2 linked regions of the Coturnix japonica genome follow. The protein of the gene in region 2 binds, or shares a complex with, the protein of the main gene of each other region. Links are inferred from orthologs where the notes say so. Each region holds a gene or a part of one and is shown on either strand. Other genes may lie near its edges. The genes, in order: MCM3 and GINS3.

Region 1 (16,302 bases), on a different chromosome or scaffold from region 2:
CCTCGTTGTGCTTCTGGAAGAGGCTGAGGAAGTAGTACCGCCAGTCCTGCCCAGTGGGACGGTACCCGGCGTGGATGTACGGCTCACGGAAGAGCTGTGGCACCTCTCCCTCTGGGACGGTGCACGGCATCTTGGGGAAGCCATCTTCTAGCAGGCGAGGCAGGCGGCTGAGCTGTGGCCCACTGAGGGACAGTGTGCTGAGGCGCTCCAGGATGGCCGTCATCATGGGGGAACGTCGTCCTCGTGCCCTGCAGGGAGGGGAGAGGGAGGAAACGTTAATGGGAATGCACTGTGAGAAGAACCTTCTTGATTCTGTGGTGATATTGAGATGCAGACCCTGCCTGTAGAGGCGAAGGGCTTTTCTTGACTTGGCAGACCTGAATACAGCATAGAGGAAGATGTCTCTGTGGTTCAGCCTAGATTAGATAGACACAGAAACATTACATCCTGCCCGCCTCCTTGGCAATCTCATGGGGCACGTTTAGGGCTAGTTGCCAGTAAGGGGGTGCAAGAAGCAGTTAGGAGAGATACCAGAAGAAGAAGAAAAAAGAACTCATCACACATGACTGTGCTTAGACTGAACTCAGTGCTGATGAACCAGACTCTGTACTCCTGTCCACCCAGCACATGCATATTTGCAGGACTGGGGCTGGACTACTAAGCTCATATACACCCAAGTGCGTAGACGTGACCAGAAAATAAGTAAATGGTAATGAGTATTTTGCATCAGTGTGGGAAATGCTTTATTTTTCTTTTGTAGCATCTGCTGAGAGAGGCAGAGGACCAGTCTGAGCGGATACACACCAGGAGGCCCTCAGCAAGCTGGTGTCACCGTATGATGTTAACAATCAAGAGGAAGTGAAAGCAGAGATGGGAGCTGACAAACAGTCCCAGGGTGAGATAGCACAAAGAGCCAAGTCTGAGCAGACTCTGCACTGGCTTGCATGTCCCACTTCCCCTCACAACTCTGATAACAGACAAAGAATTTTCACTTTACTTCCTTGTTCTTGGCGGATGGGGGCTGTCATAACTGACATTACTGCATTTTCCAGCCAGTTCTTTTTCCTTGTGCTTTCCAGGCTTTCTTCATTAGCATCTCTCAGGGCTGTTGGTTTTATTTCCTTTGCCACAGAGAATGTGGCTGCTGCGTCCGCTGGAGCTGCCCTACAAGAGCTGGAAGGGAAGGTGGTTCCTAAAATGGGGTGATTTAGTGTCAGAGATGTACAAGGCTGAATGCAGGGCCCTCACTGAGGGTCTGACGTTGGCAGATTCTCTTTATTTCTCTCCTAAGGGGGCAGAGCTATGACAGGACACGTGCTTCATTCAGAGGCCTGTGCATTCCCAGGGGATAAGTGCCAAAATTTAGGAAGGCAGATTTGATATATATATATATAATCTATATATCTTCACCTCAACTGATCCCAGCACAATGCTGCAAAACCCTCCAGGAAGGTGCATGGGTACCAAAAGCAGTGCTGGGGCTCATGAGGACAAGGTGCAGGGCTCCCAGAGTTCCTCAAATGACGGAGGAGACAGACAAACACTCATGCTGACACCGGGACATCAGAAACTGAAAAACCACTTGGACATAGCCCGGATTGCACAAAGAGCAGGATGCAAGGATGCAGATGGATTCAAGGGGCATGCTGTGTTTTCCACCACCCCTGGCATGCCTGCTTTGCATTCTGATGAGCATATGAGAGGAACAGCAGCATCTGTACCAGGCACAGGCTGGCTCTAACTTGCACACCAGGATTTTGCCACAGTCTCATCTCGGATACAACAAGCATCACCCTTGAGCAGAGCTAAGGATAGACTGGGCACTGAACTGAGAGCAGAGATTCTTCCCAGCTGGGAAACACCAGGTTTTAACATGCAGAAGGAAAGGGGGGCAGACATTTTCAAGCTAACAGTCGGAAATCACAAGAAACGCATGCGGTGCTCAGACAAACAGTGAGTAAATCAGGAATCCGGGCAGGCTTATTTTAAACCAAACTTGTGACACCGAGGAGCGAGAACAAGTTGGCGATTTCCAGTGATCATGTGATGGACAAAGCAACGAGCAATTAGAGAAAAGGGAGCGAGAAGGGGAATAATAACAAAAAGAGAGAGAAACCCCAAGGTCAGCACTGGCTGTTTTGCGTTCACAGAGCCCCTATTCTTTCCCTCCCGCGGGGGTGTTGGAGCAGCTGAAAGCCACATTCATCAGCAGGGCACCTCGCTGCCATCCCCTCCTCACCCCCATCTCCGGGGGATTCACTTCTTTTGGCTGCTCCCAATTAACGGCAACCAAGTATCGTTTGTTCAGGGATGGAGCTGCCAGGAGGGGTGGACAGTGGCCAGGCGGGATCATGGCAGTCACAATGCAAACCGTGGCCCAGAGGAGGAACGATCCCGTTCCAATTTCTCCTCTCCCTTTCTTCAGAAGTAATTGGAAACCCGAGCTTTTTCCCCAGCTCTTTTGCTTTTGGTCACAGTCTAATGGAAGGGTTTGAATGAGAAGATTTCCTGCAGGGTATTGCTGATTTTCCCACCAGCCCAGACTCAGCGTTAACTCTGTAAGTCAGCCTGTAGCAGCTCCATGTATTGGCTCGCAGGGTGCTGTGCAGACACTGGGCTTTACACATGCACATCTGCTTCCAGACGGGCAGCAATGCCTGGGAAACAAAGCAGAAGGCACTGCAGAACTTGAACCCTGGGGAAGACTTTAACAAATGCACTGCATTTATAAAGGAAAGTGGTTGTGTATGGCGTGGAAGTAACAACTAATTCCTGAATTCCACTCTTCTGTGAGCTGTGCAAAAGCCCATCAGGTGCATCACAGGTTGCTGTTTTGGAAAGGTCCCACCATAGATGGGAAATGGAGGTCCTAGAACGGCTGGGGTTGCAGTGACATTAAAGCCCATCCAGCTCCTGCCATGGGCAGGGACACCTCCCACAGCCCAGGCTGCCCATAGAACCATCTATAACCTTGGGCACTGTAGGGATGGGGCACCCACAGCTCTCTGGGCAGCACTGCCACTGCCTTACCTCCCTCATTGTGAAGCATTACTTCCTTACATCCAATCTAAGTCACCCCGCCTTTAGTTTAAGGCCATTCCCCCTGGGTCTATCACTACACTTTCTGACAGAGTCCTTTCCACCTTCCCCCTTTAGGTATTGGAAGGACACAATGAGAACTCCCCAAAGACTTCTCCAGACTGAATATACCCAGTTCTTAGTCTGTCTCCATAGGAAAGATCACAGAATCACAGATGCTTTACTCTCTGGGCACCTTCATGGCCTCCTCTAGATATGCTCCAACAGCTCCTTGTCCTTTGCTGATGTCCGGAGCTGTATGCAGTGCTCCAGCTTGGATCTCACAAGGCCCCACCACCAAGTCCAACCACCAGCCTGACCTACTGAGTCCGATCACTAAACCAGGTCCCTTCATGATGTGATGGTGGAGTCACCATCCCTGGAGGTGTTGAGGAACGGTGGAGATGTGGCACTGAAGGATGTAGTCATCAGGCGTGGTGGGGATGGGCTGACAGTTGACTTAGGGATCATCAACCTTAATGATTCTATGATTCACTGGAGACTCCCCCCCACGTCTCTGGGCAGCCTATGCCAGTGCTTGGTCACACAACACAGTAAAGTGCCCACATCTCTGAATGGCAGCACGGCCTTCTGCTGTGTCAGCCACTCCTCCCACTTCTGTATCATCAGCAAACCTGCTGAGGTTGCATTCTATTCCTCCAGCCAGGTCATTGATGAAGATGCTGAATGAGACCAGACCCACAGGTTTTCCTTCTGACCTCACTATACCTTTGCTCTTTGCCCTTTCTAGATTTGCTCACCAGTTTCTACCCCCTCCCCTCCCCACACACACCCAAAAGCTTTCAGGTAGGTGTGTGATACCAGTGAGCAGCCTGCACCCACCAGGTGGAGCACCCTGACCTGACTTGCTTTGGGCTCACCAGTATAGAAACAAGAGCAAAGCCTACTCCCTATCAATGACCTGTGTCTGCCAGGTTGTTTGCACACTCCTAGCACAGTTTTGTTGCAGCCACCCACACGCAATTCGAGTAACTCCACCTTGCTATGGAGCAAACGGGGTTGAGGCATGCAGGCAGCCATCCCCTGCCAGCAAGCTGTCATTCAGCCACGCAGTGATGGAGTGGGGTGGCTGACCTGACCCGCTTCACATGCCAGCACTGGATTGAGCTGAATGGTGCCACAGAAATGCCCATTTTTTTTTCCCCTCCTCACAAGCTGAAAAGGCAATTTGGATTTGTTTCAACCGCGTCTTGCTTTCACAACCCACATCTCCTCCCATGATGTCTGTGCAGCATCCTTCCATCAGTGTGCACGCAGCATCCCTGGGCCCTCATTGCACCAAAAGCATTGCTGGAAGATATCTCAGACTGAAACTGTTCAGCTTTCCTACAAACAAACCATCACCCACAAAAAGCCCGATGCCCAAAAACATTTTGAAGGCAGCAGATTTTCAGGCTTGGGTCATCAGAAAAATATGCCCATCCATCACGTGCGGCACAGGGAGCAGGGAGAGAGGCAGCAGGCAGAGCATGCAGCTGTGTGCCAGCCCTGGAGCTGTGAGCTGCTGTCCTCCATGCACTGCAAGTCCATATCCCCAGCCTCTGAGGTGAGCAGAGCTGCACGCAAAGCTCCTAGAGTAGATGGCCAATCCCCCCCTGCAAATATGGGATGCTGAGGATTTGCTGGGGGGAAGATTAAAGCACATACGCCTGAAGGACACGAGGTACGGCCACCAGCTTGCAAATCTCTTACGCAGACCCATAAATTACAGCTTCCAGGACAACACGCTCTTTCTGTGCTTTGGGTTTGCTGCTCAGCCTTTCGTGCATGGAATGACACAACGGCTTCAGGCACAGCTTCAATGTAAATACATACAATCAGCAATCCCACAAGCCAGGGGCCGTTAAACAACACCTTGGTGGGAGGAAGTGTGCAAAGGCGGTTGGGCTCAGCAGGGCCGTGCTTCTAGGAACTGTTTGTGCTACATTGCACCCCTCGGAGCTGAGCTGAGCTGAGCGGTGCACTTGGCAGCTCGCCGTCCCCTCCCTGCCCCAGCAGCGAGCACAAACAGCCCCGCAGCCCGCATTCCTCTCCCGCAGGGCATCCAAATGTCCTTTCTCATGACCTTTCCATGACTGCAGCATCACAGTCACCCACGTCCCCATCCTCAGCCCTTCAGGTTGCAGTGATCTCTCAGTTAAGTGCCCCTCCAGCATGGAAGGGAACGTTATAGAATGGCTTGAGTTAAAGGGACCCTTCAAGGCCACTGTCTGCACTGAGCAGGGACACCCACAGCTCCATCAGTGCTCAGATCCCATCCAGCCTGACCCTGGCTGTCTGCAGGGATGAGGCACCACCACCTCTCTGTGCAACCTGTGCCAGTGCCTCACCATCCTTATTATTGACAGCTTCTTCCTTATATCTTCACCTCAACTGATCCCAGCACAATGCTGCAAAACCCTCCAGGAAGGTGCATGGGTACCAAAAGCAGTGCTGGGGCTCATGAGGACAAAATGCAGGGCTCCCAGAGTTCCCCAAATGACGGAGGAGACAGACAAACACTTATGCTGACACCAGGACATCAGAAACTGAAAAACCACTTGGACATAGCCCGGATTGCACAAAGAGAGACTGCACCCTTGAGCAGAGCTAAGGGAAGAGCCCATCCAGCCTGACCTTGGCTGCCTGCAGGGACGGAGCACCACCACCTCACTGTGCAACCTGCACTTCGCTTCTCTCCTTTCCCATCTCCAACCATCCCACAGCACCCACCAACCGAGCTACACCTCCACCCTACAGCGCACAATAAAACCACCTGCAGCCTCCATGCAAAGCGAGATGCTCACGTAGGAAAAACCCAACACCCACCCACAGCAAACAGCCCCAGGGGAGCAAAACCCCCAAACCATCACCATGGACACACAAACTGAACCCGGAGCGGTTCTCCTCGCTGTCCCCTCTCCCTGTCCCCGCAGCCGCCCGCACTCACCGCACCGCACCGCCGTGTCCCGCAGCCACCGCCTCCAGGCACCGAGCGCATGCGCTCAGCCCCGCCCCGGGCTGCCCCACCGGCCGGATCTCGGGTTGATCAGCGGCTGTTCCGTCTCCTTCTGGTCTTACAAATGCTTTGCAACCGAAGCTTTGTGGGCATCGCTTTGTTTGCTCGCCCCCTGACCTGCTACGTGCCTCCCCAGATGCTCTGATCTGTTAAGCTCGGGGTACTTTACACCCTGAAATGAATCACCCGCTTTATTCCCTCCCAGGTGTGGTTGTGTTTGCTCCGGAGATTGATCCCAACAGGTTCCGACTCAGCTGGGCAGGGTTGGGCTCTCCCTGCCTGTCCCCCACCCCAAAAACAGGGGTAAAATGGATGAGAATTGCCTATTATAGGGGTAGGGGGGATGTGTTGGAAGGGCCCCTTTAAGGCCATCAGTCCCACTGCACAGGGACACCCACAGCTCCAGCAGTGCTCACAGCCCATCCAGCCTGACCTTGGCTGTGTGCAGGGATGGGGCACCACCCCTGGGCTGCTGGTTGGTGACCCTACACACAGCATTGGGTTAAAACCAGATGGTGATTGTGGTCCTTTCCAACCCAGGCCATCGTATGGCTGGGTCCTGTGACTGAGGGGTCACTCATGGTAAGTGGGATCCCATCCCTAATGGGTGCAGATCAGCAGTGCTTTGTATGCAGATGGGTGATAGCCAGGCTCGTAGCAGGGGAGAAAACCAGGAATAAAAGGAGCCAGCTGTCACTGCCTTTAGTAACAACCAGAATTCACGATAACAGATGAGCAGACAGAAATAGCAACGCGAAACCTCCAGCCATCTATATTTGGGCTATTCAGACCTCCTTGGAAACACAGTATTATTCATTGCTTTATTTTGCTTTCGCATGACAGGAGAAGGGAGCGACTCAGCATCATGTTGGCACTGGGGGAGCTGAGCATCGGGTGCAGGACCATAGGAAGACACTGCAGCCCTTGCTCTACATGCATTCAGGTGCCTGATTCCTGTTTAATGTTACCCCTGTAAGGTCCCCATAGGAAGAGCTGCCTCCATCCTCGGCCTTCCCCGACCTGTAGCAATGAATTATTCACTCGGCGTTCTCCGTGCCGAGGCTGTTGCTATAGGGCAGGCTCATGAATAACAACAGGCGCTTATTTTTAGCCCTAACTCGTTACCGTGCTGCTGCCCTTGGTTCACAGCCATACCTTCAGCGGGACGAACCCCGCAACGCCGCTATGGGCTGGGGCTCCCTTTGGATTTACACACAGCACTTCCTTCCCAGTTTATGGGATGGCATATATGGCCACCTACGTTCTCCTTGCTAAGATCCCCTTAGAAAAGACATCCGTTACCCCATAGGGAGTCTCCGCTTTGCTATCTGCAGCTACAAGGTGGGGGGGGGGAGGGCAGGGGAGATGCTTGAACCTGGAACGGGGTGTTACCCCAGTGATAATAAGGAATCAGCAATAAATACACTAATTTAGATCCTCATCCCGCTGCTGACACCCAAAGCTCAGCCGGGACCCCAGACCCCAAACGCCCCATTCCCGCCCCCGCCCCGCCTCCTCCGCTCCCATTGGCTGCCGCTGCTGCGCGTCAACTCCCGCCACTTCCCCTTTGCCTCCCATTGGCTGACGCCCGGCGGCGCCGCCCAATGAGGAGCGGAACTCCCCCCGCCGTGGCGGGAAAGCGCTCGGTTTTGGCGCCAAAGAGAAGCGTGGAGGTTGCTGTGATCCGGGCCGGCGTTTGGGGTCTGCTGGGGATCTATAGGATCTATAGGACCCTTTAAAGAGCAACCCGGTCCTTACCTGTTTACTACCCCCTCCCTGCAGCATGGCAGCCCCAGCGGACGGGCTGGACGATGCGGAGCTGCGGGAAGCGCAGCGCGATTACCTGGATTTCCTGGACGATGAGGTGAGCAGCGGCGTGTATTGCGGGATGCAGCCTCCCCTTATAACCGGGGGTGGTCATCGCTTCCCCCCCAAACCCCCCAACAGGAGCCATGGCGCTGGGGCTGCTTATTCCCCAGGGAATAAATGGAAATGGCTTTACACGGCTCATGTGAAACTGAGGGTTGTGTTGTTACCTATGTGTGCAGGAAGATCAAGGAGTTTACCACGGCAAAGTGCGCGACATGATCAGCGACAACCAGTACCGCCTCCTGGTCAACATCAACGACCTGCGGAGGAGGAACGAGAAAAGAGCCAGCCGGTACGGGGGGGGGGGGGGGGGGGTGCTGTTGTGCCAGCCAGCCAGCCCTTACGAGCTTGCAGCCCATTGATAGAGCAAATCCTGTTTGTTTGAATCCTTACAGTAAAATTCGGGTGTTTGCATGGTGTGAGGCGTCTCAGCTTTAGGGTTCTGGGGTCTTTTTGCAAGAGACTTGCAAATGGTTTAAGTACAAGTTGAGATGTGACAGCTGCGAGTTGGAGGTCTGGGTTGGATATTAGGAACAATCTCTTGTCATGAGGAGCAGTGATGCAGTGGCACAGCTGCCCAGGGAGGTGGTTATGGAGCACCCCCATGGATGGTGACCCCACCATGGGGATGTGGCACTGAAGGACACAGTGGGCACAGGGGGGTTGGGCTGGGTGACTGTAGAGGTATTTCCAACCTTAATGATCCCCTGTTAGGTGTTTCAGATGTAATTGGGTTTGTTCACCTTCAGGCTCTTGGTCTCCATGAGCTGTGGGATTCTCAGTGTTCTTTCAGAGCACACCGAGGCATCTGGAAGGGATTTCTTAGAGCTGCCAAACAGGGTTGCCAACAAGATGCAGCTCTCAGCCATCACCTCCCTCTGTTGCAGGCTTTTGAGCAATGCCTTTGAGGAGCTCATCGCCTTCCAGCGTGCTCTGAAGGACTTTGTTGCCTCTGTTGATGCCACCTATGCCAAGCAGTATGAGGACTTCTACATTGGGCTGGAGGGCAGCTTTGGTTCCAAGCACGTCTCACCACGGACGCTGACCGCCTGCTTCCTGAGCTGCATTGTTTGTGTGGAGGGCATCGTGACAAAGTGTGAGCCTGGGGGCAGGTTGGGATGCTGGGTGGTGTGAGGAGCAGAGGGTCGGGGTGTTTGGTACAGCAGGAGTCCTCCAGAACCAATGGGAGGACAAGTGGAGTGATGGTAACAGTGGACTTGAATGTTGGGAGCTGCAGTCCTTGGCACTCTGGTTATCAGCACTTTTGTCCTGTGCATATAGTGGATATCTTTTTGGGGTTTCATGGTGACAAACAAGTGGGACTTTTCTGCCCCTAACTCTTCTTTCTTCCAAACCCAGGCTCTCTGATTCGTCCCAAGGTTGTCCGGAGCGTCCATTATTGCCCAGCTACCAAGAAGACCATTGAGCGCCGATACACAGACCTGACATCCCTGGATGCTTTCCCTTCCAGCTCTGTTTACCCTACAAAGGTGAGGTGAAGCGGCCTCATATGGGGAATATCTGCATGTTCCTCTGGGGAGAATATGCTGGCTCAGCAGGCAACATGATCAGCTGTTGGTTGGCATGCTTGTATGTGGCAAGGGGATTGAAACTAGATTGTCTTTAGGGTTTCTTCCAATGCAAACCATTCCAGCATCCCATGGTTGCTGTCTGGAGGGTATGTGGACCATTGTGTGCAGGGATTGCCCTGTGCTTGGGAATGGAGGAAGCTTGACCTAAGCTATGTCTGTTGAACGTGCATTCTTTTGCATGGCCTGCCTGCATTGGGAGCAGTGCTTGGAGGGTTCTAATGTGGCAGTGCTTGATGCTGGCAGCATTAGATCAGGGGGAGCTGTATTGCTGGTGAACTGCAGGATCTGGTAGTCCAGGTAAAGCAGCCCTTTGCAGTGCTCATGTGTGTGTTGGGTGATGCTCTCTTCCCAGTGCTGCTAATCTCTTTATTGCTGTGCCTTCTTCCTTAAGGATGAGGAGAATAACCCCCTGGAGACAGAGTTTGGCCTCTCAGTCTACAAGGACCATCAGACCATCTCCATCCAGGAGATGCCTGAGAAGGCACCAGCAGGGCAGCTGCCACGCTCGGTGGATGTCATTCTGGATGATGATCTGGTGGACAAAGTGAAGCCTGGAGATCGCATTCAAGTGGTTGGGACTTATCGTTGCCTGCCAGGAAAGAAAGGAGGTTACACATCAGGGACGTTCAGGTGAGCCTTCTGCTGGCTTCAAGGACAACATCAGCCTTGACACCCCTTTTTAGCAGGGTCCCATCCCTCTAAGATGAAACATAGGGCAGGTTGGATGGGGCTGTGAGCAACCTGGTCTCGAGGGAGGTGCCCCTGCATATAGCAGGAGGTTGAAACTGGGTGATCTTAAAGATCCCTTCCAACACAAACCATTCTATGGTTCTATGAAACTTCTGCTGTTGTTATGATGACCCTGAAAGCTCTATGAGCTTCACAAACATCATTGTAGCTGTGTCGCTATTCCAGGACTATCCTCATTGCCTGCCATATCAAGCAGATGAGCAAAGATTCTCGGCCTCTCTACTCTGCGACTGACGTGGCCAAGATCAAGAGGTTCAGTAAGAATCGCTCCAAGGTATTTATGTAGGTCTTATTTCTAAGCTCGCCTTCCATGATTTTCCTCTTGCTTTCCCTGCATTTTCTACGTAGCTTTTTGTCAATTTCTGTGATATATGTATGTATACATATGTATTACATGTAGCTGTAGCAGAGTTTCTGATGGCTCTGCTCTGTTGTGCGTAGCTGTTGAAATGGAGCTCTGTCTGGGCTGTGTGTGCCCTGACTGCTCGCTGGTTGTTAGAGAAGCTCCTCTGCAACGTTCTACTTTTCCTCCTCAAACCTAAGAACGGAATTAGATGACAGCCTGGATTTCTGAAAGGAAACAAAGCAAAATGCCAGTTCTTTTGGTTGGGGGAGGGAATGGGGGCCTGCCCCCCAGTCTGGTCCTGTGTTCAGATCTTTGTTCTTGTGGGGGTTGCTGCTTCCAGTGCTTGCGAGGTGGTCTAGGACTTCAGAGCCCCCATGGAAAGAATATTCCAACAGTATTCTCCCATCTAAATAACCTCTGTCAGTGTAGTTCTGTGATAGGAATAAGTTCCTTTTCTGGTGCTGTAATGGGCTTGTGAACTTGTTCTTCGGTCCACTTACAGGCTGTGCTTTGCCTCTTCTGCCTTAGGATATCTTTAACCAGCTGGCGAGGTCCCTGGCACCCAGCATCCACGGGCACGAGTTCATCAAGAAGGCCATTCTGTGCATGCTTCTTGGAGGGGTGGAGAAGGTCCTGGAGAATGGGAGCCGCATCCGAGGAGACATCAACATCTTGCTGATAGGTGTGGAGAGGCAGAGCAGAGGCAGCTGAGGCTGATGCTGTGGGAGTGAGATGAGGCTGTTCAAACAGAACTTCCCATGATCCATGTCACCTCTTCTCCCATCACTATACGTATCTTAAAACCCTGGCTCCATCTTCTCCCCATCAGGATGATGGAGAACGTGATCCACTCACCTTCTGCTCTGAAGAATGAACGACCCAATTCGTTGTCACGTGTATTCATTTCCCTGCTAACACTGTGTTTGCTAAACACATTCTTCTCTCTTCCAGGTGACCCTTCCGTTGCCAAATCCCAGCTGCTGCGCTATGTGCTGAGCACTGCTCCCCGTGCCATTGGCACTACTGGCAGGGGCTCCTCTGGTGTTGGTCTGACTGCTGCTGTCACCACTGACCAAGAAACCGGTAAGGAATGTTCTGGTTCCCAGTGGGAGCTGGTGGACGGATGGTAGTTAATCCTTGGGATGGACTCTGCAAGGTCCGGGCCTGTTTGTCCTTCTTGTAGAGGCAATTACAGGACCTGCTTTGTTACAAGCTTTGAAGCAATGATGGTGGGGGTGTTTTCTCTATCTTTGGTGGTCTTTAGTTCTACTGGGTGTACCCCATATGGGGTTGGTGGGCAGTCAGGAGCCCATGTCATTTCTTCTTCTTCAGTGTTCTCCTGCCATTACATTGGGTGAGAGATCATATAATCATAGAATGAATCATAGAATGGCCTGGGTTGCAAAGGCCCACAGTGCTCATCCAGTTCCAACCCCCTGCTGTGTGCAGGGTCACCAACCAGCAGCCCAGGCTGCCCAGAGCCACATCCAGCCTGGCCTTGAATGCCTGCAGGGATGGGGCATCCACAGCCTCCTTGGGCAACCTGTTCAGTGCGTCACCACCCTCTGGGTGAAAAACCTCCTCCTAAAGTGGTTGTCCCTGAGGCTGATGATCCTCCTCACAGGGATGCTGCTGCAGTGGAATGAGACAGTAGGAGACACTCAGGGCTGCAGAACAACACTGACCTTCTTTTCTCTGCCCTCCCATCCCAGGTGAACGGCATCTGGAAGCAGGGGCCATGGTGTTGGCTGACAGGGGTGTGGTGTGCATCGATGAGTTCGACAAGATGTCTGACATTGACCGCACGGCCATCCATGAGGTGATGGAGCAGGGCCGTGTCACCATCGCCAAGGCTGGCATCCACGCTCGCCTCAACTCTCGCTGCAGCGTCCTGGCAGCTGCCAACCCCGTCTATGGCCGGGTGAGTGCTGGTTTCTGCTGCTTCCCCCCATATGGGGGCTGCTAGGAGCTGTCCTTGATGAAGATAAAATCCAAATGATCTCCCAGACTTGCTTCTTAGTGGAACTGAGGTGCTGGAAGACTTGTTTTGCTTGGCTACTGCTGCTTCTCATGGGTATCATGAAGGTTGTGGGGGCCCTGTCCAACATGGCCTTGAACACCCCCAAGGATGGGGCATAAAATAAGATAAAATTGCATACTTGCAAATGAGAGCTACACTCATCTTCCTGAGTGGAGTAAAGAGGCTTTACTCCTTGAGCAGGCTGTGTTTAGCATGGTGTCTTTGGTGTTCAGCTGTCTGTGCATCTACCTTGAAGGCCTGGCTTGAGAGGGTCTTTCCACCCTCCCTAGCAGCCAGCAGTGACCCATGAGATTCTCTTGTAATCCCTTTCTTCAACCTCTTGTAGTATGACCAGTACAAGACTCCCATGGAGAACATTGGCCTGCAGGACTCCTTGCTCTCCCGCTTCGACCTGCTCTTCATCATGCTGGACCAGATGGATGCTGAGCAGGACAGGGAGATCTCAGATCACGTCCTGCGAATGCACCGCTACCGCAACCCCAATGAGCAGGATGGGGATGGTGAGCTGTTCTTGCTGTATATAAAGCCCAGGAGTTACAGGTTTTCTTTGGCTGTTGTTGCTTCCCTTTCCCTTCAAGCAATGGTAAAGTCCTTGGCCTGGACCCTATGGCAGGTGGGGTTGAAACAAGGTGATCATTATGGTCCTTTTTAACCGAGGCCGTTCTGTGATTCTGTAATTCCCTTGTCCTCACTGCTGAGCTGTGACCTTGAAGCAGAGTGTCCATCTCTCCTTTGTAGCTGGTGCCCATCTGTCCTGGATAGCTGTGGTTGAGGTGATGGGGTAGTAGATGGGGGTGGGCTTCTTACACGGTGACACTGTGACACAACCCCAGGCTTCCAGGTTGTCGCTTGTTAGCAGCTGTTTGGGTTCAGTTGTCCGTGGCTTTGCTGAGTGCTGCCAGTAGGTGGCTGTGAGAAGCTAAAATCCTGTTCTTGGCAACCCTTCCCTCTCCAGCCATGCCCCTGGGCAGCGCCGTGGAGATGCTGGCTACGGATGACCCTGATTTCGCACAGGAGGAGGAACAGGAGCTCCAAGTGTATGAGAAACACGATGACCTCCTTCATGGACCCAACCGACGCAAGTGAGTCTCCTGTCCTTGTGCCGTGAAGCTCTCCGGGGTTTTCGATGGTGATGAGCTGATGTTAAAATACTCTTGGTTTGGTTGGAGCAGCAGGGTGTTGGCTCATTTTTGGGGACAGTGATGCTGTAGATTGTCCAGCAAGGTGTGTGGGTGGGCTGCAAAGGGGGCCTGCTTTGGGTGCACTGTTCTCAAACACCAGGCAGATGGGAGAACATCTTGAGCACAGCTCTGCATTGTAACTGGATGCTCCTAAGAATAGCACTCTCCCTGGGTGCAGCCTGTACGTGCCCTCTGCTTATCCCCTTGATGTTCCCATCAAGAACATGGGCATGTGTGCATCCCCTGCAGGGAGAAGATCGTCAGCATGGAGTTCATGAGGAAGTACATCCACGTGGCAAAAATGATCAAGCCTGTCTTGACCCAGGAGTCAGCAGATTACATAGCAGAGGAGTACTCACGCCTGCGCAGCCAGAACCAGATGAACTCGGACATTGCCAGGGTGAGCTCCCTCTTCCCTCTGATCACACCAGGAGAGAAACTGAGGCACATGCTTCTCTTTCGCATTACAGGTGTTTTCCTCCCTCAGTCACAGAGTGGTTGAGGTTGGAAGGGGAGCTGTGGATGTGAGCTCTCAGTGTTACAAACAGGGGTGAACCAGATGCTGGTGTTAATGCTACAGTGGGGGTCCAGCATGGTCTCGTGAGCTCCAGTGTCTCACCACCATCTTTCTGCCCTCCAGACTTCCCCTGTCACAGCCCGTACCCTGGAGACATTGATCCGCCTCTCCACAGCCCATGCTAAGGCCAGGATGAACAAGACAATTGATCTGCAGGATGCGGAGGCAGCTTTGGAGCTGGTGCAGTTTGCCTACTTCAAAAAGGTGGGAGAAAGGTTGTGGGGTCCCATTCAACCCCCTGCTATGTGCAGGGTTGCCAGGCATCAGACCAGGCTGCCCAGAGCCACATCCAGCCTGGCCTTAAATGCAATATCTTATGCAGGTACTGGAAAAGGAGAAGAAGCGCAAAAAGCAGGCGGAGGATGACTCAGAGACCGAGAAGGAGGAGGAGGAGACGCAGCCTCAGAAGGAGGGCAGGAAGCAAAGGTAGTCATGGCAGGCCTTGGGGAGATAGCTGTGTTAAATCCTGTGGGTCTTTTGGGTGACACTTGTAATGCTGGAGCCTCTGGGAAAAGCTCCCAAATTTCAGGGTTTGTGGATGAGGTCTGAGTTTACCCACAAGCTACAGCTGCCCTGTCTTGTCCTGGCCAGACACTTCCAGGAGCCCTGGGGGTATCTCTTGAGGTCTGTCCTTTGGTGAATCAGGGCTGACCTCCTCTTCTCCCACCCAGGAGGAAGAAGGCACGCACAGAGGGCGAGGAGGAGTCCTACGACCCCTATGACTTCAGTGATGCCGAGCAGGAGATGCCAGAGGGTGAGTCAGGGCTTTCAGTGGCATCACTCACCTCATCCAAAGAGTCCACCTGCTTTTGCTTGTGCTCGCTGTCTGTTTGAGGAAACAGGCTGAAGCAACTTTTCTTCCTCTTCCAGTCCAGGCACACACTCCCAAGACACCTGAAGCCTCAGCCACTGGTGAAGCAAAGAAGCTGGAGTTGGCTGACCCACGGTGAGTCAGGGCTGGAGAAGCAGCAGGAGGATGTTTGTCCTCACCTGGGTCTGTGTGGGGGCTGCTTGGACTCAGGCTGTGTTTCCAGTAATGACTGCAGCCAGCAGGAGGTGCTGGAGATGGATGCAGATAGGGGCATAGATGGAGCTGGTGGGTTGGCTGAGATGTCCTTAGCTAAGAAGGGAGAGGGAAAGGTCTTGATCTTGGCCACTGATGGAGGTGACTTCTCATCCAGGTTGAAAGCATTCAAGGCTGCCTTGCTGGAAGTCTTCAAGTCTTCTCATGCTCAATCCGTGGGCCTGAAGACTGTGATGGAGTCCATCAACCGCGACAACCCTGAGCCCTTCTCGACCGCTGAAGTGAAGGTGGCACTGGCCCACATGCAAGATGACAACCAGATCATGGTGTCTGATGACATAATCTTCCTAATCTGAGCCTCCAGGAGGAAGAACCCAATTTCTCATGGGACTTTCAGTCTGTAAACTCTTTGTTATCACCTCTCTCCTGAATGCTTCATCTGGCTGAGCTGAGCTTTGGGAAGCACTTTACTGGCTGTGCATTGCTGGCACCAAGGGAGCCAGGAAAAGTGGAAGCTCTTTCACTTGCCACCTCTGAACTGGAGTATTTGGGAAGAAGTTTGGTTCTGCAAGTAGCCAAAAGGAAGAATTTATGTGCAAGTTGCTGATACGCTTAACGTGTTCTTAGCTTTGGCCTGGGTTATGTGCAGGCTCAGGTTGGTTGTACTCAAAGCTGGTTGGTTTTCATACAGCAGGGCTCCCAATGGCAGGCTTTTGCCCATGTAAATCTTTTTCTCCCCATTTTTAAATTTCTCCCATGTTTAATTAAAACAAAAACATGGGTTTAAGCATTCAATAGCAGTGCTAGTAAGAAGCAAATGTAGGG
Region 2 (16,347 bases):
AGGACTTTGCTGCCAGCTCAGTTCCAAGGCTGCGCCTGCAGGGGCTCAGTAGGGCCAGGTGTTACCTCTGTGTCCACAGCAAGAGCTGTGTCCAACAGTCTCCATCTGGAGGCCTTGGAATGCCTCAAGAGACACCAGAACCTTGTTCAGGATGCATGGAAACCACAGCATTTGCCTGTCCCGCCTTGGTTTGGTGTGCACAGGGACAGGTGCCACCTCCCAGGCAGGGAGGAAGCAGCTCCCACTCACAGCCAGGCTTTAAATAAATACCTATCAGCAGAGCAGAGCAGAGCTGTGCAGAAAGCAACTGTGTGCATACAGATGTGCTTAACAAGCTGACAGGCGTGAGACAGAGCAGCCTGCAAGGTGTCTCCTTGGAGCCCAGAGTCTGGCATGCTCCATCATTAAAAAGCGTTTCCAATTGCACAACGAGCAGCAATGCCCACTTTAACCTTCCCCTGGAGAGTGGGGTAATGCCATCCCCAAGGCTCCAGGGTGCTGGGGTGGCTTAAGGAGGTGGCGATGCAGTGGGAAGGTTTGATGGTTCCCCAACATTTCATAGTTGCCTTGTTGCCACTGGGGGTGTTTGGGGACACACAGATAGGTATGGGCAGGTTGCTGGCTGCTTGGGGGCACCACAGTTCTGGGGTGCTGAGGGCACCAGGTCTGGAAACACACATTGCTTTCCCAGGGGGATGAAGTTTGGTCAGTCTCTGTACCCCCTGCTCCTTACTTGGCTTGAGAGCTTTCATAGAGCAGTTGTACACCCAGCTCCCCATGCCTGCACCCTGCTGGCTCTGTCCCTGACCTTCTCCTTGACCTGCAGCTGATCAATGCCTCTTGCTCAGAGGGATCCATCGGCCCTAATGATTTCATCCTGCTCCTCACTAATGAACTCTCACGTCGTGCTGCATTTGGGCCATGATCCCAGCAGTTGCTGAGGAGGGAGGCAGAGGGACAGCACGTTAGTTTTGGAGCTTTTAGCCAAAGCACACCACTGCATCCTCCTGATCCTCCACTGCACACCTCCCTCCCCACTCCTGCCCCTTGTTTTTTGGAGAAGCCAAGGTGAAGCCACCGGTGCCATGGGACATCCCCTGCACAGCATGACCAGCGCCATCCTCAGAGCTGCCGCCCTACTGTGCCCACGTCCCGGCCAGGCAGAAAGGGAGGCCTGGCACTGACCTTTGCTTGGAATCCAGTCACACGCACCCCATCAATAATGAACTACGAGATAACAAAATGAGCTGTCACAGCCAATTAACACGCTGGGCTTAATCAGCTTGTGAGTTTTCAGGGGGGAAGAGAGGGGCAGCCACCAGCCAGAGGGGCCGGGTGAGGGGTCTGCCAGGTGGCAGCCACTCCTTGCTGGATCCCTTTGCCAAAGGAACCCAGCCAAGAGCCAGGGCTGTGGGAGGGCAGAGCTGTGCACAGAGGTAAGCAGGAAGACGATGCAGTGATTTCTTTTTTTTCTGTGTCATCCTGCCCTGCTGACTCAAAGCTCTGGGTGCAGAGAGCTTCCCTCTGATGCTGCTGGTGCAGATGCAGAGCGGTGCCCATCTCTGCCTGTGCCAGCCAGGCAGACAGAGCTGTGTTTGTGCACCTGAGCCCAAACTGAATGGCAAAAATCACAGCTCAGGCTCCAGACAGTGCTTGGTAAAATGATGGTAATAAATCCAGACGGTCTGGAGCAAACCTGGAGCCTCTGCCATTCAAACAGGTATTAATGCCTCCCCCAGAGTTTCTACAGTCTAGCTGTGGGCTTTGAAGGCAAATATCTGAGGGCTGTTTTGATGGTGCCTTTATTTCTCTATTTGCTTCACAGTTCCCATGTACATCGCTGCCAAGCCCCCCAGCTAAAGGACTGTGCTATTGGGTGGTTATCTCCCTACTCCCATTTTGCTCTAATGCATTAGAAGAAAAGCCATGCTGCTTCTTAAGCATCTGCCAATCTCTTGCTCTGAAGTCAGGGAAAACTCTGCCTATTTGTTCAGGCCAGACCTCCTGTTTATGCATGTTCACAAGCCATTTTTGTAACAAATATTCTCCTGCTTTGCCTAGTGAGCACCTGAGAGCCCTTGAGGGACTCTGAGAACTGCTGGAGACAGACACAGCCTTGTGAGCTACTCCAGATGTGAGCACAGGTAGAGCTGCACAATGTCCATTTGCCTTTTACCACTTTTGTTGCTGTTGTTTTAATCACAGCATCACAACAGAGATGGGACAGCATCGCCACGACTCTCAGGAGGTATCTCCTTCACCAAACCCCACTCAGCAGCATACCAGCATCTAAAGGACAAATGATTTCTACCCCACAACATGAGGGATTTCTGCCTTGCCACAGGGCAGGAAAACCTGGATAAAGTGTGTTTTCTCTCACTGTAGGAGAAGCCTGTGAAGAGCTGGAACCATGTGGCTTCAGAGAGGCTAACAAAAGGCAAAAGACCACAGTGTGTCCTGCCAATCAGATAGAAAGATTACAGAGGCCGGTGGCACTGCTTGGCAGCCCGCCATCAGAAATAACTCTTCAAAAATAGCAGCATTCTAATCTCAGGAACCTTCTAGCATTGCCAATCACATTAATGAAGTGTTTTGAAAACCAGAACAAACGCCTCAGCTTTTTGGGGCTGTGCTACCCCCTGTAACTTTCCATGCAGCCAAGGAGTGGGCTGGCTGCTGCAGCACACTGCTCTCATGCACAGTGCTGTGGTGCAGCAGTGGGGTCAGCCTGGATCCCAGGAAGCTTGGCACCTGTGCTGGGAAGCTGACAGCCCTCAGTGCTGGGGAAGGGGATCCCAGGATCGATTTCCTTCTTCCTTCTTGACCACTGTGCAACCTAAACCCATTTTGAGTCTCACTCACTACAAGAAGTCACTTACCCATCTACTTTAGTCTCCAAGGCACAAGAACATCAGTAGAGTTCTCACTACCTTCAATTGAAACAAGCAGTTGTGGTAGGGCTCACACAAAAATAACATCTCCAGCTCGACTCCTCCTCTCCCAGCTGCTGGTCAGCAGGGCACACAGCAGCCCTCCCAGGCCATGGCCACACGGTCATGGCAGCAGGAGATGCAGCACACAGGTGATCTGAAGCCAGAGACACTTTTAACTGCCCAGTTTCTTTCACAAACAGGATCTGACTGCCCCAGATTTGAATCCCTCTGCCTGGTCAGCATGAAACAAAGCAAAACATGCTCTGTCAACTGGAGATCAGCTCCCAAAGCCAGACTTAAAAGCAAACCCATCAGAAATAAGTTTCAAATGTGTGTGGTCTCCCTTCATTCCCCATTCAATGTGACATGATGAAACCACAGTAGCTGTTATCCTTCCGTCAGTGTTTGTGTGAAGTCCCAGTGACGATTCAGCTCAGCGTTTAGTGCTCAGGCTGCTGTCAGCTCCAGTACAAGTACTTCTGAGTTGGCAATATCAGGCAAATGGAGCAGAAATGCAGGCTCAGCTATCCATGCTTGGCCAATCTCCTGCTGGGCCAACTGGCTGTTTGGGTGGGGGAGAAGGATGGAGGGTGAGAAAAGTGCTTCTCCGTATTTAATCAGATACATGGCAGCCTTGATGAAGCTTAGCAGCAAGGATTTAATGGGATGCATCAAGGAAGCCAGCATGATTTCTGAAAAGGGGAATCTTTTAGCACTGTCAAGCACTCACCAAGTAAGTAGCTGAGCTCTGGCAGATGCAGCAGAGCTGTGAAAGCCTGGCAACATATTGGCTGTAAGAAATTACGTTGCTGCTTCCCATCCAGAGCACAAAATCATTCAACCATCAGAAAAAGAAACTGAGGTACAGAACTACCTCTGAGGCAGAGGCAGCACTAAACAGAAAGGTGGATGTTTAAATAAAACCACAATCTTCTGAGCCGTATGATGTGCTGTCAGACAATGTGTTCTTATAAACAGCACATCTGGGTACAGAAGCAGCTCTGTGTAAAGAAAGCACACCCCACTGTCCCACTGCTGTTTTACATCACATCTCTGTTCAGCAGTTGGGTTAATTGACATTTTGAATGTGGTTCTTCTAAGAGCTGATCACCAAAAATGGCTAAAAATCATGGATTGCAGTTGAAATGCTGAGTCACAGCTTGAAGCAGTGATGGAGCACCCGGTGGGAAGGCAGGGCCAACCCAGTGGAGCTCAGGTGCAAGCAATGTACCTGAATGACCAGATTCTGGCTCCTCCCCTTCCCAGACCTCATTTAAGGGCTGGCAGTGGGAGCAAGGATGTTTCCCTGGAGGTTCCTGCTTGATGAAGGTCTTCTAAGGGTAAGCAGCTTTTTTTTTTTTTTCCTTTCTTTTTCTGTGTTTATGGCTACCACATTTGAGTATATCCTCACCTGCCACAGCCCAGGATTTCACTACTACTTTTTTGTTGCTACACTTTCCATCACATTACACAGATCAAAACTGGGAATGCTCGTGCTCTTCAATTCAGTTAGATGTCATTGTTCCTGTGCTACAAGTAGTACATGGTGTTACAGCATGTCAGTTTTCAAAGTACTCCTTACTGCCACCTCTCTTGGATGCTGGTCTGAATGACTCTGTCTAAAGCTTCCTGGCTAGCAGAAGCAATCAACAGCTGGGTTTTTTTTCTGCTGACCAAAAATAAACCAAGGCCAGAGGATGAAGTGAAGCCTCATTTATGTCAATGAAAGTCAAGGGAGTAAAGCAGAACTCTTATGAAGAAGCAGTTTGGATAGCTGAGGGTTTGTGCATGGGTGACTGCAAAGCTCTTTGTGTTTAACTGGGACTCAAACACCTGCAGCTGCCTCACATACTTGGAAGAATACATGGAGTGAAGAAGCCTGGTGTGTTAGAAGTCCATGTGAAATTCAGCTGAGGAAAGCTTTTCAGTTTCACTGACCAACGTGACAGCTCACTGCAAGGGAGTCCAAGTGACTCCATCTTCTGCTGCATTGGTGCACATCAGCACCCTGGTTGTCACACAGCACAGCATGGCAATGGAACGGAGCATCCAAGGAGGGTGTCCAGCAGAAACAGCTTTTGAGGAGCTACTCAGACTAACATTGCCCTGAGATGGGTCTGGAAGGACCAGATCAAGCCAGCCTGTGGGTTTCTTAAAAAACACATCATAAGAATGTTCCTTTGAGTTTTAATGTGAACACATAACTAACCAGCATTCCGAATTTCACTTAATTTTGGTTGCCATGGAGAACAGTGTAGCAATGCTGTATAGTACGTCCACGGGCTGCTTTCTCATAGACATCAGACATCAGTAATCCCGCAGTGTGAAAGATGAGAAACATGGGGAGCAGTGACACTTAAAAGCTCTTTTTGTACCTCTTTTGTGCAGTTCAGTAAGCTATTGTGCCATTCTGATAATACAGGAGTTCAAATTCCTCTGACACAGCTTGCTGCTGCGCAATCATAAAGGACAGTCTGTGTTCATAAAAATTACAGAGCATTCTTTTGTCAGCTACCCTGAAGGCTTAACAGCAGCAGTGGGTGTCTGCAGTAGCAGCAAAGTGCTTCCAAACAGAATAAAGCGTTCCTGCCAGAAATTAATAAAATCTACAGAATATCAGATCTACTAGCAGAAAGAGCAATTAAAGATTGCAGGATCAGAAATTTAACCGGTTTATGGTGCTTTTTTTTTTACTAAGCACTCAGGGTTACTAAGTGACATCTGACATTAAGGACTACTTCAATCTCCCTACTCTGAAACTGGCTGCACAAAACACTGGCAAGCGTACACCATCTGCTTGGGATTTGTACCCAGCAGTAATGATGAGAAACGTTCTTACAAACACAACAAAATGAGTTCAGAGAGTCATCAAATCTAATCTAGAAACTGCGGAGAGAATGATTTTTGGTTATAAACCAACTAGATCTCAAAGCAACCATCTTAACATAACACTTCCAAACCTAAAATGTTCTTATCACAGGTGGAGTTAATCTTGCTTCCCATACAGCTGGAACACTGGATGCAGTTTTGACACATGACTTGCAATCTGTGCTTTAGCACTTGGAGCAGCAGGGTATGAACAGAAACAGCCAACTCCCACCTGTTGGCTGCTGTGCTGCTGAAAATCATCTCCATGAAAATGCAGACTTGCAACCTGATAAAAGCTATTGATTTTGTGTCTGTGCCATGGCTTTAACAAACTGCTACTACTCACGTGGGGTGTGTTAGACAGCTGACTGCACCTGACTGCAGGAAAACAGTTCATGACCACGTCACCTAAAAGAGAATGGGCATGGGGTGACCAGGACTACATTGTCCTCTGCAGACGTGACTTTGCAGAGATCTGCACTATCTGTGACTAATTTCTAATTGCTGGACAGCTAACAATGGACATCAAATAACTTCCCCCTTAAAAATCTTTATTCAGCATAAAAATCCAGAAATAGAAAATAGACAAATATTCCAGGAAAATGTCTAGGCTACTACATACAGCAGCATTTGAGCCTGTATGTACTCCAAATACTTTGTGAGGCAGTTTCCAGTTAGTCTCCCCAGCAGAGCTGAAGCCAACACCCTGCCCCCTCTCATGACCTCCAGGGCAGAGCTTCAGAGGAATGACCATGCATCATTTGCACTGCAGGTCTTTAGTCTGAAGAATGTGATGGCCAGGTACACCTCCAAAGACAAGCAACTCCTACAAGACTTGGTGCATCAGATCTTGAAGGTCTTGCATCAGAAACGCTGCTGTCTCCTTGTGACTCCTGGAGCAGGAAGGGGTAGGATGATAAATGCTGGGCTGTTCGAGTACCAGCTTCAGTCTCTCCTACTGGCAGTGATAATATTTACTAGAATCACTTTGCAGATGGATCAGAAGGAAGGAAACTCAGTTCATTTGCTCTGTCCCTCCACTGCCAACTGAACTTAGTAAGTAGATTTTCACATGGCGGAAACAGATGACACAGGTTGATAACGGAGGATGAATTCCATTAAGGCACCTGCTTTTAAACCAGCCCAGACTAACTTTTGATGCTCCTGTAAAATGAGTGGAAGAGCTCAGCGTTTGCTGCAGAAGCACATCCATCACAAAAGGCACTCACAGCAGATGGGAACATCCTCCATCACCTGCAGCACTGATCCCACAAAGGCTGGAAGGGAAAGAAAAGACAAGGCAGCTCCTCAGATCTGCACAGGTGGAGAAGCGTTCTCTGAAGTACTAATGCTGTGTACAAAAATCAGCAAGGAAAGGGATCCCTGTCTCATGGAGAGCATCTGTTAAACTTAAATGTATAAGAAATGGGAAAAGTGCAGTGTAGTTTCTAGCACTTTTTTTTTTCCTCCATATATCTGGGGTTCTCCAAAGAACAGGGAAGCTGGAAGCAGATGTTCCCAGGAGGCTCGTATGGAAAGGATGGAATATAAACAATTACACTTGTTTTCCAAACAGATCTGGCACTGCAAATATCAATTTGGAAGCTAAAGAATGATAAATATCAATTACCCTTTTAGAAAATCCTCTCACATCCTTTCAGCCACTTAGCAAGCACTATAACCACAGATCCTCATGGGTGGTATGAGTAAGCTGTAAGGCTATCCAGCAATGTGATGTGATCTATTTTTAATATCCTTGCCATCTGCCTTCAAGATTTGCACTAGGCTAATATGAAGATGTTAGGAAAGAACTCCTGTTAATGGACTGGGAATCTGTCCTTTCCCAAAGCTGATTCATCTTTCCTTTCTGTGACTATCTATCTCGGTGTCCTCTGTTGCAGCCACCTGTTCTTCAGGCTTTTACCCATCCATGTCTGTAAATTTTCTTTTCCCGTAATTCTGGACCAGACTGGAAACTGTGATTTGTGAAGCCTGTCCCTTTTCCCAGCACTGGAAGTCATTCAGCCCCTTCTGGCCAGCTTGAAATAAGGCTCGTTCTAACTCATCCAGCCGAGCCACCAGACTTGACGTGTCCTCGTTGTAGGCATTCTGAGAGGAGTCCATGATACGACGGAAACGGCTAATAAATGTCTAAAGAAGATAAGCAGAGTTATTGACACGTAAAGCAGAGGCTGCTTCAGCTTGAATGCTAGAAACCTTTCAAGACATGGGAGATGCTTACAGCTGGTCTGCCAGGGCTGCTGTACACAGCACCAATTAATCCTGGTTGCAAAGACAAACTACTTCCTGCATGAGCTTGCAGAGTGAATATCTGATATAGCAGAGAGGAAGCATGCATGGAATTAGATTTGCCTGCTCTCTAACGACAGGCTTGAGAAGACGAGAGGGTGTAACACAATTAGCATCTACTCCATCTCATTTAACCAGTGGAATGAATCTTGTGCCACAACAGCTGCTGTAGGAACAGACAAGCTGCAGCTTGTGAATGGACCAGAAGATACGTCATCACTGAGGAGCATTTGGCATGCTGAAATAACACTTGCCCCCTGCTCAAATCTACAACTAACACATAACATTTTAAAAAGTAAAAGGATATACTGAAAGGCTTTATTCCCAATCAAAAATAAGGAGTCAACGCCTTATTTATGGTGGTGTTTCTTTTAAAGTAAAACAGCACAGCTCCTTTCATTTGCTTTCAACAAGCTGCACCTTGCATGCTTTGATATTTGTCAACTAGTGATGTGTGCTGTAGTGGTTCTCTTGCTAAGACATGCATTAACAGAAGGAAGAGATGAAAAAAGGTGTGATCACCTCCTCAAAGCAGAAAGCAAGCCCTCGGTAGAGCACTCTAAGGAAGGAGTAATATTTGATAATTTAATGAATAAACTTAATTAATGGAATAGAAATTGTGTTTATTAGGTTAGCAAACAACATGCAGGAATAGGAGGAGGGATGACTGTGGACAAAAACAATAATTCACAAGTAATCCTGGCAAACTAGAAATATGGCCTGAAAATCATCGGATGTAATTTAGCTGGGACTACTGCAAGGTTCTACGTTAAGGCAGAAGTAATTTACTACAAAAAGGCAGGACGAAGAATGATGGTCTGCATATGCTTTACCACCTCACTATGGACTGCAAACCAAATGTGTCAATGTCACACTATCGAGAAAAATAGAAAAGCTGTGACATGATGAGCAAACAACATAATGGCCTGGAAAACTCACAGAGGAGTCTTTCTGCTTCCAAGGGCACAAAGCAGGAAGATGTGCTGCTCAAGATGCTGCCTGTCAAAGCAGATGGAACTGAACTGGAAAAATACCAGCAGTGATCCGAGGTTAGGAAGCATGACACATAGTGAGGTACCAAATGAATTGGGTCCATTTATCCCAGAGTGAAGAAAACCAATGTTCAAATACATAATAGCCTTCTTCAGAAAGGAAGAGAATAATCTGTTCTCAGCATTTACTTTGTGTGAGGCAAACAGAACAGAGCTTGTATTGCTGTGAAACAGATTCTGTTTAAGCCTATGGTGAAGCAATGGAACAGTTGCTCAGGACAATATGAAGAGAGCTTTAAAAACAGGTTAAAAAAACAAAAAATAGGGTAAATAGGTTCTGCCTTGCAGCAGGGGGACAAATTAAATACAGCTGTACCCCCTTTAGTCCTGTTTTACAGGATTTTCTGAAATATATTTACAGCATGGCAACTCCAGGTTAAAATCCCACTCTTGGATGGGCACTTGAGGCTTCCACTGACATTAATAGGCTGCACCATTCCCCAAAAGGGTCATATCATTTGATCTAGAAATCATGAATCCATTATGAAGTCACCTGAATTGGAGCAAGATATTTTTCCTGCAGTCTGCTGGGCAACTGGGAACAAGAAGATATACAAACACAAAGACAAACTTCAGGCCTCAGCTCTAATACTTGCCTGCAGGATAGTCTGAGCTATCTCGGGGTTCTCTGGGTTGTCGAAGTTCAGGAGCTGGGAGCCAAATCCATAGTAGTATGGCCCCATTTTATGCAAATCAACCACGTTGGCATCAGCGCTGAACACCGTCCTCCACGCCTCCCTGTAGATCTTCGGCAGCTCCACAGAGATCAGCCTCCTCTTGCTGTCGTGCAGCCCCTTGGCCAGCCACATTGGGAGCTCCAGCTTTGAGCCCTGTGTGAAGAGAGAAAGGTAAAGGTTGTTCCTAAGAAAACACGTATGGATGAGCCCTCAAAGCTGACAGGAAGCTTTCATAGTGAAGACCTGGTATTATATGGTATTATTATATATCTGACCAGAGAGATGGTGGCTGCCCCATCCCTGGAGGCTGGTGATGCCAGGCTGGATCAGGCCCTGTTGGCCTTTAAAGGTCTCTTCCAACTCTAAGGGCTCTATAGCTCTAACTGTGATAAAGCAGCCGCTATTCAGAGGCACTAATTATTGCTGTTTTATACTTATTACTGCAGTACTCGGCTCTTTATATCCACCTCAAAAGCAGAACAAAACGCCCCCCCTCACAATACCCCCCTATGGCCGCCCCGCTCCGCGCCTCGCTCTCCCAGCACTCCTTCACCTCAGGGATGCAATCCCCGGAACCGGCGCCGGTCCCCTGGCCCAGAGCGAAGGCCATGCGGGGCAGGTTGCTCTCGGCTCGGCTGGGCAGCTTCTCTTGAGACATCAAGATGTCGTCCAGCGATAAGAAGTTCTCCTCGGGACCCAACCCGGGGCCCACAGGGAAATACGCCCCCGCCATGTTCAGCTCTGTGGGAGCGCGGCCTCTCCCGCTCAGCCGCCAGCGGGCAGCGCTGCGCATGCGCGGAGAATTCCCGCCCGCCGCGGAGGCGGGAACGGGCGGTGCTGTGTGAGGTGAGCCCAGTCAGTCAGAGCCCAGCTAAAGCTGGTTGGTGGAACCTTATTAAACCCTGCATTAATTCACTGAGAGAAATAAAACACAAGGGTTTGATGATGGCTTAGTGAAAATAATCCCTTCTTCATCGAGTTTGGAGGGCAGATCCTCACATGGAAATGCCAGATTTGCGCTGTGAGCAAGGAGGGATGTAAAGGGAATACGTTCTTGTAGGGTGCGGTACATAAAGAAAATCCCTTTCTTCAAGTGCATCAGGTTGTGGTGTGAGATGGCAAAGTGAGGTAGAGAGAACTGAAGGCTTGGGGCAGCCTCAATGGGCTCTGCAGAGAGCTCATCATACTGCACAGCTGGGCCTGTTTCAACGTAAATAGCATTAAATACATGAAGTAAGACAGCTGAGGAAACTGCAGGGACATGGCTGGGAGCACTGAGGGAAGGCTGGGTTGCCTCCTGTCTGATCTGACCCCACAGCCGGAGCCATTACCCTAAATCCTTTCCTGACACTGCCTGGGTTGCTCCTTTCCCTCCAGCACTTCCACTCTCAGGAACAGATTTGCATTTCCGAACTGCTTGTTTCGCCTGTGGCAGAGAGTTCTTATTTGTAAGTAATAATGTCATGCTGGATTTGTGACACGAGCTTTTGCAATCCCTTTGTTGTGCAAATGCAGGCAAATAACTGAGGTAAGCCAATTGGCTTCAGCAGGATTACCAGTAAGAGAACAGAGTGCTATGTCAGATGCATAAATATTGCTCTCAGGAGCAGATTCTGCAATTGAGGACAGCTTGAATTTGTAAGGAAGATGTACATTCTAAAAAGGAACGCTGAAGAGAGAAGATAAACTGCATGCTATAATTGGTGTTGCAGACAGTGTTTTTAGCCATCAAAGGGAGCACTGAAGCAGTTCTAGTACTTTCCAGTGTTTTCTTCCCTAATGTCACTCACTGCATGAATTCCTGTTCATAAGGAAGTGGATTCAGTGATCTTCAAGGAATTGTTACCTGTATAGTTTTGCTGGTAGGTGAATAGCCACAGTTAGACAAGTAGCTCTTGATGGGATCTCTGACACTTTTGATGTCTCGGGGTGGCTGTGATGATGTAAGTAGAACACTCACGTGGTGTGGATGAAAGAGAAATGCTGTGTTTGTTCTTCACAGGGAGACCCTTTCCTGCCTGAAATATACTCAAGCGACTGAACAAAGCAATGAGCCCTTCCCACAGTCTGAAACAGTAAATGTCAGCAGTTTCCTTTTTGTTACATCTCGAAGTTCCCATTAAATGCCATAGGGAAACAATGGGAGTGATGCTCTTCCAGTTCAGTTGCATGCACTCCAATGCCATTCAACAAAACGATACTCAATGCCCAGAGGAAATATACTCCTTGATGCCATGAAATCTATCTTAGCTTTCATGGAACACCCCTGTAGCTGGTCAGTGATACAGCTCATTGCCAATAAGTCAACAGTGTGCAAGCTTCATCAGCTCAGTATCCAAGGATATTGGAATCAAAGCAACAGAATCCTGTGTGAGATTCTATAAGTGAATACATGTCTGTGGGCTGTACTCAGTGCCGGGTTTTATCACACAAACCCAGATGTGGATTTTTGGCAGAGTTTTAATCTCCTCTAGGAGAGCCTGCGTATCCATTGATTTTACCATTTTCTTGTAGTCCTGTATTTGCCAGCAGAGCCAGTAACGTAACAGGAGAGCACTATCAGTGGGGAAAGTTTGGCAAACCCAGAGTAATCTCATTGAGATGAATGATGGTTTTAGACCTTCTTTTCATAGTATGGGGTTTAAAAATCTATCTGCTCCTCACAGTGGAGTTTCAGGGCCAAATACCTCCATGGCATAAATAGAAATCTGCTAAGGAATGTGCAGTTCTATCCGGTAAATTTTTGTTGTTGACAGTGTATTGTAATATTACAGTGTTACAATATTACAGTTGACAGTCCTTAAAAAGAGTGAAATCTTTTCTGATTAATAATCCTCTGTGTATGCCTATGGTTGGGGGTTGGAACTTGGTGAGCTTGAAGGTCCCTTCCAACCCAACTCGTTCTGTGATTCTTGCTTCTCTGTGCAATTCCTTGCCCCTTTTCAACAAGGGATGCTAAAGTGGAGCTGGTTAGCATATCTGAAATGGTATTGAAGTGTGAGTCAAACCCTGATGATAAAGATCTAACAAAATGACCTAAAATGTCCCTTCACTTTTAAATTTTCCCCTGCATTCAATTTCCTTACTAACAATTAGTGGAGGAAATAATGACACGATCACAGTTTGCTCAGACTGCCCAGACCAAAATAGCTGTATCTGCAGAGCTAATTAGGAATGACACACTTAAAAACACCGTGTTTCAATTGTCAATTTAAGTTTTAGAGTTGATGTATTGTGGAAACTCATTTTCCTGAGATGAGAGAGATGGTATTGATTCCCTTCACTAATTCAGTAAATGGGTGTGAATATTCCAAATTCAGCAAAAAAAAAAAAAAAAAAAAGGCTGAAGGGTCAATCCTGGACTACAGAGACAACTCTATATGAACTGCAGATTCATATGAATTGATAGCATGTTAGACATAAGGTTTTGTTACCCTTGGATAATGTGCTAACGCTGTCTGTGTCCTCTGCAGGTTCATGGCTCTGACATCATAGGTTTGATCTGCAGTCCCTGAGCTTGTCTCCACTGATGGCATCACCTGCTGTGAATGTTTGTGGAATGAAAGCTGCAGCTCCAGGTGAGAGATTGGTTTGGACTGTAAGTGTTGCATTGCCTTACCATCAGCCCAGCAGTGCACTGGCATGATGGCCTGGAGCTGATGTAAATGGAACTATGGAACTGTAGACCAAGAGCTGCAGAATCAGAATATGCTATCTTTAATACTGAAAATGGGAAAGCGTTTTAAAGTACATAGGGCAGACTTGCTAAGCTATTCTTGTGTAGATTATGCAGCACACAGGGTATAAGGGGTCAATTCTTGAAGGCATTCTAATCTCCTCTACTAGATGTAATATTCCCTGGCTCCTGCATGTGTGTATAGCTACCATCAGGGAAAATGGTAATGAATTTGCATACTAAGGAGAAAGTAAATCCTCATTCCCCTTCAGTAATGTATAATGTCAACAAAAGTCTTTGATGAATGCAGACTCTTCTTAATTAGATGCTTGGGTAGGAGATTATTAATCCATTTATCTCAAATTCTAATTGTGCCATGAATCGCTTGCTGGTTTATGCCTAAGTTTATGATCGTATTTATCTTCCTAGAACCTATAAAGAGTCATACTCCTAAATGAACATTTCTTGAAAGCTGAATTATTGTATTCTTATTTTTATTCCCTTCCCCAACGTACATATATGTGAATATTCTGAAACCCTCACTCTGTTATCCAAGAGCATATCCTGCAACGTAACAATTCCACAATTGCCATTTTCACAGTAGTGACATCTGACCTTTAGAAAACATGGATTTCTGCACCAGTGGCAGCCAAAGGAAGCTGACTTGTGGCAAAGGCAGGTCTTTATGTACCCTAATAATGGAGCAGGCATGGTTTGAGGGCTTGCCAGATTTCAACTGCACATTAAAATTAAAAGCTTAGGTTGTGATACTAATGTATAAATACTAATGATCCCACCGGCCTAAAAATCATCTCTAGGAGATTCTAAGCAAGCCAGTCAATTTGCTAAAAGCGCATGTAGTTGCCTGGATGACATAAGTTTACCTGGATACAGCTGAGGATTTATTTGCAAACACCCTCAGGCAGATACTTGTTTTGAACGCTCTAGTTGGCCTAGTTGGCAGCTCGTGGTGTGCACTGCAACAGCTCCATCTGCCGAACAACTCATAAATCACTGGCACTTCAGAAACTCACAGCCAATGATATTCCTCCTATCAGCCGTGCTATTAGTGGCCCTCTGGGTTTCTGTCTGGGACAGGCTAGATAAGAACAGACTAAGTGGAGCATACTGCAGTTCTTTTGTGTGTATGCACTGACACAAGAGAAGGAGAGAGCAACAGACACAGCTGGCATTCAGTAAAGTTAAATGAATTATAGTGAATGAAATCACTTGATTGAACTGACTCTGTTTTAGATACAGTGCTGTACAGGACTTGCTGTGTGAAGATAAAGATGGATGTAATAGCACCATCCAAATTGTGCAGTGATATCTGAGAATGGAAAAGTTTACTGGAGTGTTGTTGTTTGTAGTTTTGTTGCTTTTATTTTCTCCTGTATCCTATACTTTATCTATACTTTAAACTACCATTAAAGAGAAAAAACAAACCACCCCTTGCTCTTAGTTGAAGAGCTGCTGAACATGTTGATGTGCCTCATCACCCTGCTGCCACATGAACCGAAGCCACGGGAAGGGGAGCCCCAGGTCAGTCAGAATTGCTGCAGGACAAGGTCATCAGCCCCAGCATCCTCCTGCAGGCATGCGTGGCAGCAGGCGTTGAAAGGATGATGTATGGAAGTGCAGGCTGAGCTCAGAACAGCTCCGAGATCTGCTATGGATGCAGTTTGTGACTTGGAGAAAATCAGCCCTCTGTTTTTTCAGTTTTCTTATCAGCAGAGAGAGCCTCTGGGCTGTGTAGATATCTCTTGCCTCATCGAGACTGGAAGGACTCATTAACTTGTACATTTCAGTGCTTGAATTGCTATGTGGGGCCAGACCCTGCTCACTGCAGCAAAGGGAGATTTTGTGGTTGATAAAAACAGCGGTAAATTGCCATCTAGGGAACTCCAAATGCAAGAAATTCCAGCAATTTTAACAGAATTCCCGTCTAAACCACAACAGGTTTTAGCAACGTGGCAATATTCCCTCAAACAAGAAACATTCATGAAACACTTGCTACACACTTAAGTGTGACTTAGAAGAATTTCTTGGAAATTGCTGAATCCAACCCCATGTAATAACAGGAGTTCATGCAACAAATTACACTTGGTGAGGTAAAAAAGGATTGTAAACTTCAGATCTGCTTCTATTTTCATTTTGGTTATTAGAAATACTGTTTGCAATCCAGACTATAGCATCGGTTTTATCGCTTTTACAGTTCACTCTAAGGGAAGGAGGACTGTGGTCCTTGTGCCTACAGATGTGCCTCTCAGGGGCAGGGCAAGTTAATGCCTAAATTCCTCCCCTTCTCTCCTCCAAACCTCTCTGTTTACTTCTCTTATTAGCTTAATAATAGCCCACTCAGTTTGCAAGCTCAGTTTTCTCTTGAGCGTTGTTTGTTTCTGCCATTCTTTCTCACAGAGCTAGTCTTGAAAAATGCATTTTGATTCAGTCTCTGCTCCTCTTTTGGAACTAGTAGGTGTCATTCATTCTGGTGAGTTCCTCTGCATTTCTGCTCCATGGACTGAATGAAGCAGAGATTCTGCCAAAAATAGATGTGAGCTCGTGTAATTAAAAATTGTGTATGCACAATGTGACTAAATCAAGATGGATAACAAATTCAGTGTGAAAAGATACCTTTTCTGCCCTGAAGTCACAGTATTAATGGAGAATAATGATTTCAGTTCCTCTCTGCCTTTGATGAAGTTGAAAGCAGTGTTAAGATGGTGCTGTGCTTTATTTGAATACCGTACTGCATGCTGCTATTTAGTCAGTCTTATTCATTCTGCTTTGTAACTCCTCTTCCTTAGTGTAGTGCATGATGTTGCAACAAA

The links.
Region 1: GINS3 (region 2) and MCM3 share a complex: the UniProt entries of both Homo sapiens proteins name them as parts of the CMG helicase complex. The link is inferred for Coturnix japonica from reciprocal best matches to the Homo sapiens genes GINS3 and MCM3.

The regions. Positions count from the first base shown.
Region 1 is NC_029518.1:98,084,341-98,100,642, forward strand, and holds the start of MCM3 (DNA replication licensing factor MCM3), read left to right. Parts: upstream 1-7,697; 5' UTR 7,698-7,880; coding exon 7,881-7,961; intron 7,962-8,145; coding exon 8,146-8,258; intron 8,259-8,853; coding exon 8,854-9,062; intron 9,063-9,325; coding exon 9,326-9,456; intron 9,457-9,949; coding exon 9,950-10,188; intron 10,189-10,473; coding exon 10,474-10,582; intron 10,583-11,182; coding exon 11,183-11,336; intron 11,337-11,605; coding exon 11,606-11,737; intron 11,738-12,366; coding exon 12,367-12,575; intron 12,576-13,020; coding exon 13,021-13,195; intron 13,196-13,650; coding exon 13,651-13,777; intron 13,778-14,125; coding exon 14,126-14,276; intron 14,277-14,516; coding exon 14,517-14,657; intron 14,658-14,775; coding exon 14,776-14,879; intron 14,880-15,124; coding exon 15,125-15,207; intron 15,208-15,323; coding exon 15,324-15,399; intron 15,400-15,634; coding exon 15,635-15,833; 3' UTR 15,834-16,302. Other genes in the region: PAQR8 (membrane progestin receptor beta), read right to left, coding at 1-226. UniProt on the Homo sapiens protein: Acts as a component of the MCM2-7 complex (MCM complex) which is the replicative helicase essential for 'once per cell cycle' DNA replication initiation and elongation in eukaryotic cells.
Region 2 is NC_029526.1:2,064,385-2,080,731, reverse strand, and holds GINS3 (DNA replication complex GINS protein PSF3), read right to left. Parts: upstream 10,640-16,347; 5' UTR 10,634-10,639; coding exon 10,394-10,633; intron 9,994-10,393; coding exon 9,760-9,993; intron 7,953-9,759; coding exon 7,722-7,952; 3' UTR 6,332-7,721; downstream 1-6,331. UniProt on the Homo sapiens protein: Required for correct functioning of the GINS complex, a complex that plays an essential role in the initiation of DNA replication, and progression of DNA replication forks.